Linked DNA regions of Xenopus tropicalis. The protein of the gene in region 2 interacts with the protein of the main gene of each other region in a pairwise test. Links are inferred from orthologs where the notes say so. Each region holds a gene or a part of one and is shown on either strand. Other genes may lie near its edges.

Evidence for each region. The genes of interacting proteins can lie anywhere in the genome.
Region 1: the proteins of swsap1 (region 2) and zswim7 interact in binary tests that used the Homo sapiens proteins (3 or more experiments, as listed by UniProt). The link is inferred for Xenopus tropicalis from reciprocal best matches to the Homo sapiens genes SWSAP1 and ZSWIM7.

What each region holds. Positions count from the first base shown.
Region 1 is NC_030678.2:31,207,346-31,211,564, forward strand, and holds the start of zswim7 (zinc finger SWIM domain-containing protein 7), read left to right. Parts: upstream 1-1,415; 5' UTR 1,416-1,615; intron 1,616-4,219. UniProt on the Homo sapiens protein: Involved in early stages of the homologous recombination repair (HRR) pathway of double-stranded DNA breaks arising during DNA replication or induced by DNA-damaging agents. Required for meiotic progression, hence for fertility.
Region 2 is NC_030679.2:140,123,070-140,127,215, forward strand, and holds swsap1 (ATPase SWSAP1), read left to right. Parts: upstream 1-1,344; 5' UTR 1,345-1,359; coding exon 1,360-1,716; intron 1,717-3,047; coding exon 3,048-3,467; 3' UTR 3,468-3,810; downstream 3,811-4,146. UniProt on the Homo sapiens protein: ATPase which is preferentially stimulated by single-stranded DNA and is involved in homologous recombination repair (HRR). Has a DNA-binding activity which is independent of its ATPase activity.

The DNA of each region.
Region 1 (4,219 bases), on a different chromosome or scaffold from region 2:
TTGTGCCCTCTGTGACTGGAACCTACTCCCATGGGTGCCATGCTGGGGGATGTGCATATAGAGCTAGTGCCAATGAGCACATGTAGCACCTACTGCCCATGTTATGTCCATATAATCCCACGTTATGCCCGTATAGCCCACGTTATGCCCATATAATCCCACGTTATGCCCATATAATCCCACATTATGCCCATATAATCCCACGTTATGCCCATGTATCCCACGTTATGTCCATATAATCCCACGTTATGCCCATATAATCCCACGTTATGCCCATATAATCCCACGTTATGCCCATATAATCCCACGTTATGCCCATATAATCCCACGTTATGCCCATATAATCCCACGTTACGCCCATATATCCCACGTTACGCCCATATATCCCACATTATGCCCATATAATCCCATATTGCCGGGGAACTATATGGCACAAATAGGGAGCCTCTAAGGCGAAGCAGTGACTGTGGGGGAATTTATGAGCATAAAAGACAGAGTACAGCGCTGTTCAAACGTGTAATTGTGTCTTTGTATTCAGTTACGGGGCTCACTTACAAACATTGTATCAAAAACAATCTTGGCCATTTCCCATAAAACATCCACCATCATATGAAATTTACAATTATTTAATTTTCAACGGGTTAAATTGTATCAACATCAAGACTTCCAACCAGGCGGCAAGAAAACTCGCAAACCACTTAAAAAATTAAGTTTCGGAATCATCATTTTATGTCTTTCCTTTTTAAACACTGCTTCTCCCTCTCACTCCTAGCAACACACAGCAGGCTGCGCTTATATCCCTCTCACTCCTAGCAACACACAGCAGGCTGCGCTTATATCCCTCTCACTCCTAGCAACACACAGCAGGCTGCGCTTATATCCCTCTCACTCCTAGCAACACACAGCAGGCTGCGCTTATATCCCTCTCACTCCTAGCAACACACAGCAGGCTGCGCTTATATCCCTCTCACTCCTAGCAACACACAGCAGGCTGCGCTTATATCCCTTCACTCTAGCAACACAAGCAGGCTGCGCTTATATCCCTCTCACTCCTAGCAACACACAGCAGGCTGCGCTTATATCCCTCTCACTCCTAGCAACACACAGCAGGCTGCGCTTATATCCCTCTCACTCCTAGCAACACACAGCAGGCTGCGCTTATATCCCTCTCACTCCTAGCAACACACCGCAGGCTGCGCTTATATCCCTCTCACTCCTAGCAACACGCCGCAGGCTGCGCTTATATCCCTCTCACTCCTAGCAACACACAGCAGGCTGCGCTTATATCCCTCTCACTCCTAGCAACACGCCGCAGGCTGCGCTTATATCCCTCTCCCAGGCTGGAGGGAAGCCCCGTACGCACCACAACGCAACCCATTTGCTCTACGTCACTGCCAAAGTCCCCCCCCAAACACCCAGAAGGCCCCGCAAGCGGCAAGTCGCATCACGTGATATCTTGATCCAATCACTGCACCCAGGAGAGTTTTGCCCGCGTCACACAAATTCAGCGCGCCCATATTCTGCCAGGAGTGGAACTTATCGCTGCAAGTAGCTCCGCCCATTGTACCTGGCGCAAACCTGAACCTGCAAGTGCTAATGTGAACTGTATGGGGAGGTGAGGAGTTTTAGCGTTTCGATAGAGTGCAAGACAAATGCATATTTCTGGAACATGCGCTGTGTGGAAAGTTAAGCGTGTCTTCTATCTGTGCTGGGGATATGTAATTAGTAGTGCAGAATTGCCATGGTGTGGTTACTCATAGCAGCCAATTAGAGGTTTGCTTTTAAACGGGTGAGCACTTTATAACTGTAGCGTTGAACTCTCATTAGCCATTTCTCTTCCAGCAGTTTCCCCAGGTTAGGGGGGCTTTGGGAAAAGGGCATTGTAATGTGTAATTCCATAGCACAACCTTAAAGGGGAAGTTAACCTTCACGTTACATTCAGACCCACTCCCATTAATATTGTAGTCTCTCATTAAAACCACTGCTTGGTTGCTAGGGCTAATTGGACCATAGCAACCACATAGCTTCTGAAATTCCAAACTTAAGAGCTGCTGAACAAAAAGAGATATCATTCATAAATGACACAAAATTAAAAAAGGAAAATAAATTGCAAGGGGTGAACTACCCTTTTAAACCCTGAAACTTACAGTATGTGCTACATCATTGGCAGTCTATCACTTTGCTTTTTAATGATGCCTTTGGCAGACAAATAGTTACATTTTCCCCATTGTGACCCTTACCTCACAAGAGCTAAACATGGAGTAGCTTTATTAACCCTGTTTAGCTCAAGAAATAACAAAAAAGCACAGATTTTTCATAATTAAAACTGGCAAAAAATTCAGCTTGTGTCTTATTCATTGCATTTATCTTCAGCAAGGAAATATATTGAACCTTCAAGCCCTTATAACTGCTCCCTGATTGCTAGGGAGCTGTGGAAAATTAATAAAATAAAAGGTTTAATAAAAGTATGAGATAATTTGGATTTAGTGTATAATGACAGATATATTTTGTACGGTTTCATTTTTGTTCTGAAAAAACTAAAAAGATTTTTTTTTTTAAAAAAATGAGAAATCGCAGACTTTTGAAATGCAGATTTTGTGGTAAAAGTTATTAGGGCGAAACTTCCCCTTTAAAAGAAGGAACATAGATGAAGCTGAAGGAAAGGCAAAAAAGTCATCTGAAGCTGTCTCCAATTTATGCATAGTTACCCATGTAAAGGTTGGCATAAGTGGGCGTGAACCTAGCCCCCATTGACGTCCCACATTTCTGGAGGTAGAATACCCCATCAAAAAGAAAAAAATTATGAGTGAGTAAATAGTTAATAGAATCTAAAATGAAATTTTTAGTGACTATATCATATGTGCTATAATTATCCAAGTGATAAGAAATGGCTTGCAAGCCCCTATCATGTGGGACGCAAGAATACAGTGAGGCCACATCAACTGTGGCCCATGATAGGGGCTTGCAAGCCATTTCTTATCACTTGGATAATTATAGCACATATGATATAGTCACTAAAAATTTCATTTTAGATTCTATTAACTATTTACTCATAATTTTTTTCTTTTTGATGGGGTATTCTACCTCCAGAAATGTGGGACGTCAATGGGGGCTAGGTTCGCGCCCACTTATGCCAACCTTTACATGGGTTGGTGGGAAGAGTCCCACATCTATGGAGGTAGTTCTTTATATTCATCTAACATAGTGTTTTACAAACGCTATGTTGATGATCTTTTGTTTATTTGGCGTGGCTCTGAATCAGAATTTAGGCACTTTTTGGGTTATTTGAATCACAACACTCTGAACTTAAGATTCACTAGTGAGTTCAGTAGGGACTCTATTTCCTTTTTAGATTTGAAACTTACGGTCTCAGGTTCTTCGGTTGTGACCACAGTATTCAGAAAACCCTGTTCCGGAAATTCGCTATTGAGGGCAGATTCTTGCCATCCCTTTCATATGTTTAAAGGCATTCCCCTCGGACGATTCTACCGTTTACGGAGGAATTGTAGTACAGAACACGACTTCCTGGAACAGGCGATTTATCTACGTGATAGATTTTTGAGTCGGGGATACAGTATTAAATCACTGTCGCAAGCGTTCATTAAAGCCTTACGTACTGATAGATCTGAGCTTTTAGCGAATCGGAATAAGGGTAGTGATAATAGGACCATAAAGAGCAGGGACCTGCCTACTTTTGTGACGGCTTTTAGTAATCAATTTTATAAGGTTAAGCGCATATTGTATGATCTGATCCCGGTTTTATATAACGATCCAGTTTTAGCGGTGGTATTGCAGGATGGTTGTAATGTAGTGGCCCGTAGGGTGCCTACTCTAGGCAATTTACTGTCACCTACCCTATGGAAGTCGCAACCCCGAAAAACTTCCTGGCTAAATGTAAAGGGAACTTATCGCTGTGGAGCTCGCAGATGTGTTACGTGCACTTACATTAAGCAGTCAGTTAGTTTTAATAGTACAGTTACTGGTAGATCTTATGATATGCAGTCGTATGCTAATTGCAACACACGATACGTGGTTTATCTTTTGACTTGCTCTAAATGTGGAATGCAGTACGTTGGTTGCACAACTCGGTCTTTGAAGTGTCATATGAGGGAACATATAAGACACATAGTAGCAACAGATGGCAATAGTCCATTATCTAGGCACTTTGTCCAGTGTAGTAATTTGGATGTAACATTTTTACAGATCCAGGCTATAGAGA
Region 2 (4,146 bases):
TTGTGCCCTGGGTACCCCTGGAACTATAGCAGGGTGACTGTTACCCCAATGTTTCTATATATCTGTAACCTTGTTATGGGCTAAGGGGGCCCAGCTTGAAGGCCAGTTAGGGGGGATTTGGGGTGAGTGCTTATTTGTGCCTGGGTACCCCTGGAACTATAGCGGGGTGACTGTTACCCCAATGTTTCTATATATCTGTAACCTTGTTATGGGCTAAGGGGGCCCAGCCTGAAGGCCAGTTAGGGGGGGATTTGGGGTGAGTGCTTATTTGTGCCCTGGGTACCCCTGGAACTATAGCAGGGTGACTGTTACCCCAATGTTTCTATATATCTGTAACCTTGTTATGGGCTAAGGGGGCCCAGCCTGAAGGCCAGTTAGGGGGGGATTTGGGGTGAGTGCTTATTTGTGCCCTGGGTACCCCTGGAACTATAGCAGGGTGACTGTTACCCCAATGTTTCTATATATCTGTAACCTTGTTATGGGCTAAGGGGGCCCAGCCTGAAGGCCAGTTAGGGGGAGATTTGGGGTGAGTGCTTATTTGTGCCCTGGGTACCCCTGGAACTATAGCAGGGTGACTGTTACCCCAATGTTTCTATATATCTGTAACCTTGTTATGGGCTAAGGGGGCCCAGCCTGAAGGCCAGTTAGGGGGGATTTGGGGTGAGTGCTTATTTGTGCCCTGGGTACCCCTGGAACTATAGCAGGGTGACTGTTACCCCAATGTTTCTATATATCTGTAACCTTGTTATGGGCTAAGGGGGCCCAGCCTGAAGGCCAGTTAGGGGGGATTTGGGGTGAGTGCTTATTTGTGCCCTGGGTACCCCTGGAACTATAGCAGGGTGACTGTTACCCCAATGTTTCTATATATCTGTAACCTTGTTATGGGCTAAGGGGGCCCAGCCTGAAGGCCAGTTAGGGGGGGATTTGGGGTGAGTGCTTATTTGTACCCTGGGTACCCCTGGAACTATAGCAGGGTGACTGTTACCCCAATGTTTCTATATATCTGTAACCTTGTTATGGGCTAAGGGGGCCCAGCCTGGGGATTTTATCCCCCTTTGGATAAACTCGTAGTTACACCAGATATTCCTGGGCAGTAGGTTAAACTTGAGAGGCTACTAACCTTTACAACTGTTATGCAGCTATGTGAATAACTAATAGGGCAGAATGACAACAAAACAAGGGAGACTGCATAAGATTTTCCACAAAAGCAAAAATCCTCTATACCGAATGTACCTCAGCAGAAACCATCTCAGTACTTGACAAGACACTGAGGTAAACCCTTCATTACACCCACAGACCAACACAACCAATAGAACTTCTCTCTTTTCGCTTACTGTAAACCGAGGCTTGACACGCATAATGCAAGTGTCTTCACTTCCGGACTTTCAGCCAATCAGCGCTACAGAGCTGGCTGCATGGGCTAAACCATTTTGCATGGCACAAACTCTGAGCAGGGTGCTGAGCGAGTTGTTGGGGTGTAAGGAGTTCCATAACCAGGGGGATCCCGGTACCAGTGTTCTGCCCGGCCATGTTAGCTCAACGGTTTCTTCCGTGCTGCTTGTCGGCCCCCCCGGCTGTGGGAAGAGCGGGCTCCTGTTTAGCGCCGCCCTTGTGGCCGCGGAGGAGGGTGCGGGGCCGGTAATATTTATATCCCGGGAGTCCCTGCAGCGGCTGCCCGGGGGTGGGAGGGAAGCCAGAGAGCCGCTCCTACTCAAGGTGATTCTATAGGGAAGGAGGTTTATATGGGGGGGCAGAGAGACAGGGTGTGGCTACCAGGGAAGGGCTGGGGGGCGGGGCAGAGAGACAGGGTGTGGCTACCAGGGAAGGGCTGGGGGGCCATGAGTGCAGGGCAGTAGTTTGTATTGGGCCATATTATGGGGGGACTGGGAACAGCTGTGAGGTGGGTTCTGACTCCGCGGGGTTGGGGCAAATGGGATGAGTGATTTATAGAGCCTTAAGCTGGCCATACACGGGCAGATCCTGCAGGTGCCCCAGCCGCGTCCCCTAACCCCCCCCCCAGGGGCCCCCCTAACCCCCCCCCGCAGGGCCCCCGCCTGACGTCCTCCCCGAGCGTGTATAAATTGAACGCGTCGGGGAGGAACAGTCAGTAGGGGGAGCGCCGGCAAAGGTCGGACTGGGCCGCTGGGGCCCACCGGGATTTTTCCCGGTGTCCCGGCGGCCCAGTCCGACCCTGGGCAGATCCGCTCGCTTGGCGATGTCGCCAAGCGAGCGGATCTGCACCCGATATCCCCACCTACGGGTGGCGATATCGGGGAGGCATGTAGGTGAATTCGATCGTTTGGCCCTGGGGCCAAACTATGGAATTCTGCACGCGGCAATGGGGCAGTCGGTTCGGGGACCACATCAACGAGCCGATGCGGTCCCCAATCCGACGGGATTTTCTAACCTGGCCGATCAATATCTGGCCAATTTCAGGCCAGATATCGGTCGGCCAGCCCGCTCGTTTATGCCCCTACACGGGCCGATAAGCTGTCGAGTCGGTCCAAGGGACCCATATCTGCAGCTACAATCTGCCCGTGTATGGGGACCTTTAGGGGAAGGACATATTATGAGGGGACAGATAATAGAGCAAAGTGCCAGGGAAGAATGTTAGTTTAGGGCAGGGATCCCCAACCTTTCTTACTCCTGAGGCATGGGTCATATGTAAAAAGACTTGGGGAGCAACACAAGCACCATAACAGTTCATGGAGGAGCCAAATAAGGGCTGTGATTGGCTATTAGGGGCCTCTATGCACCCTATCAGCTTACAGGGGCTTTATTTGGTAGCAAATCTTGTTTTTATTCAACAAAAACTTGCCCCCAAGTCAGGAATTCAAACATAACTCCCTGGTTTGGGGGCACTGAGAGCAACATCCAAGGGGTTGGGGAGCAACATGTTGCCCCTGAGCCACTGGTTGGGGATCCCTGCTCATGAGTGTATCCAGATGGATTTGCATAGCTTTGGTTGGCATGTCGTACTTGTAGTTATTTTTTTCAGCTATTGTTCTGTAGCAGTTTTTGATCTTAGTAATTTTTTTTCTTTTTAGCGAATCCGGTTTCTGTATCCTTCTTCTCTCAGGGAGCTTCTGCACCTTGTCTCGTCCATGCACCTCTCCTTCCCAGCTCCTTCTCTAATTGTGGTGGATGGACTGGAACGCTACCTCGCTCCGACCTGTGGCTCTGCTGATGGGGCTCTTATTTCAGGCCTTTTGCTAGACTCTGCTGCACACTTTAAGTGCGGCCTCCTGATATCTGCAGCACAACCTCTGGAGATGGGTGGAGATGGAGCATTCCTGGCCGTGGAGCGATATTTTCCAGCCCAGTGCCATATCTATGGCGAGGTGACAACTGAGCAGGAAGAGGGCACCTTTCACATAAGCTTCCCTTCCCATTTCCCACCTTGTGTCCTGCACACAGCAAAGGATGGTACTCTGAAAATATCACTTCCGAAAGCTTCATTTTCGTGACGGGATCGAATGTGAAAACTTACCACCTCATACTAAAATGTGTGTAGATCAGGGGTGCCAAGACTTTTTTCCGCGGCGATCGACTTTTGACTCCTCCCCGCGTACATACACATACCCAATAAACACGCGGAACCGCCGCACTTCCGCATTTCCCGGCTTCGACGCGGTCCACCAGAAATCCACAGGGGATCGACTGGTGGACCGCGATCAACATTTTGGCCACACCTGGTGTAGATGATAAATTCTTTCATGTTTCATGTATAGTGTTGATGCTTTTGCAACTTTTCAGAAAACATTGTTTAATGTAAATATTGTCAAAAAATAAAAAAATTTAACAACTTGACTACTGTGCAGTGATATTGGTATTTAAGCTGACTGGATATTGCAGTGGTTAGTACTATAATACTTCATGGACACCCAATTATTTTCACAGGAGATATTTGTAGTATTAAGTTTGGGTTGGTTTCACTATTCAACGCGAGGCATTTTCGGCGATTTGCCGAAATCGCGCCGCCGCGTGTGCCATCCCACCGGCAACTTACATTTTCGCCGGTGGGATGGCAACGGATGGCAACTTGGGGAAATAAGTCGCCCGCGAACAGGGAGATTTGTCGCAGGCGACTAATCTCCCCGTGTGCCAGAGCCCTTAAAGGTAATAGATCAGCCCCATTGTGTAAAC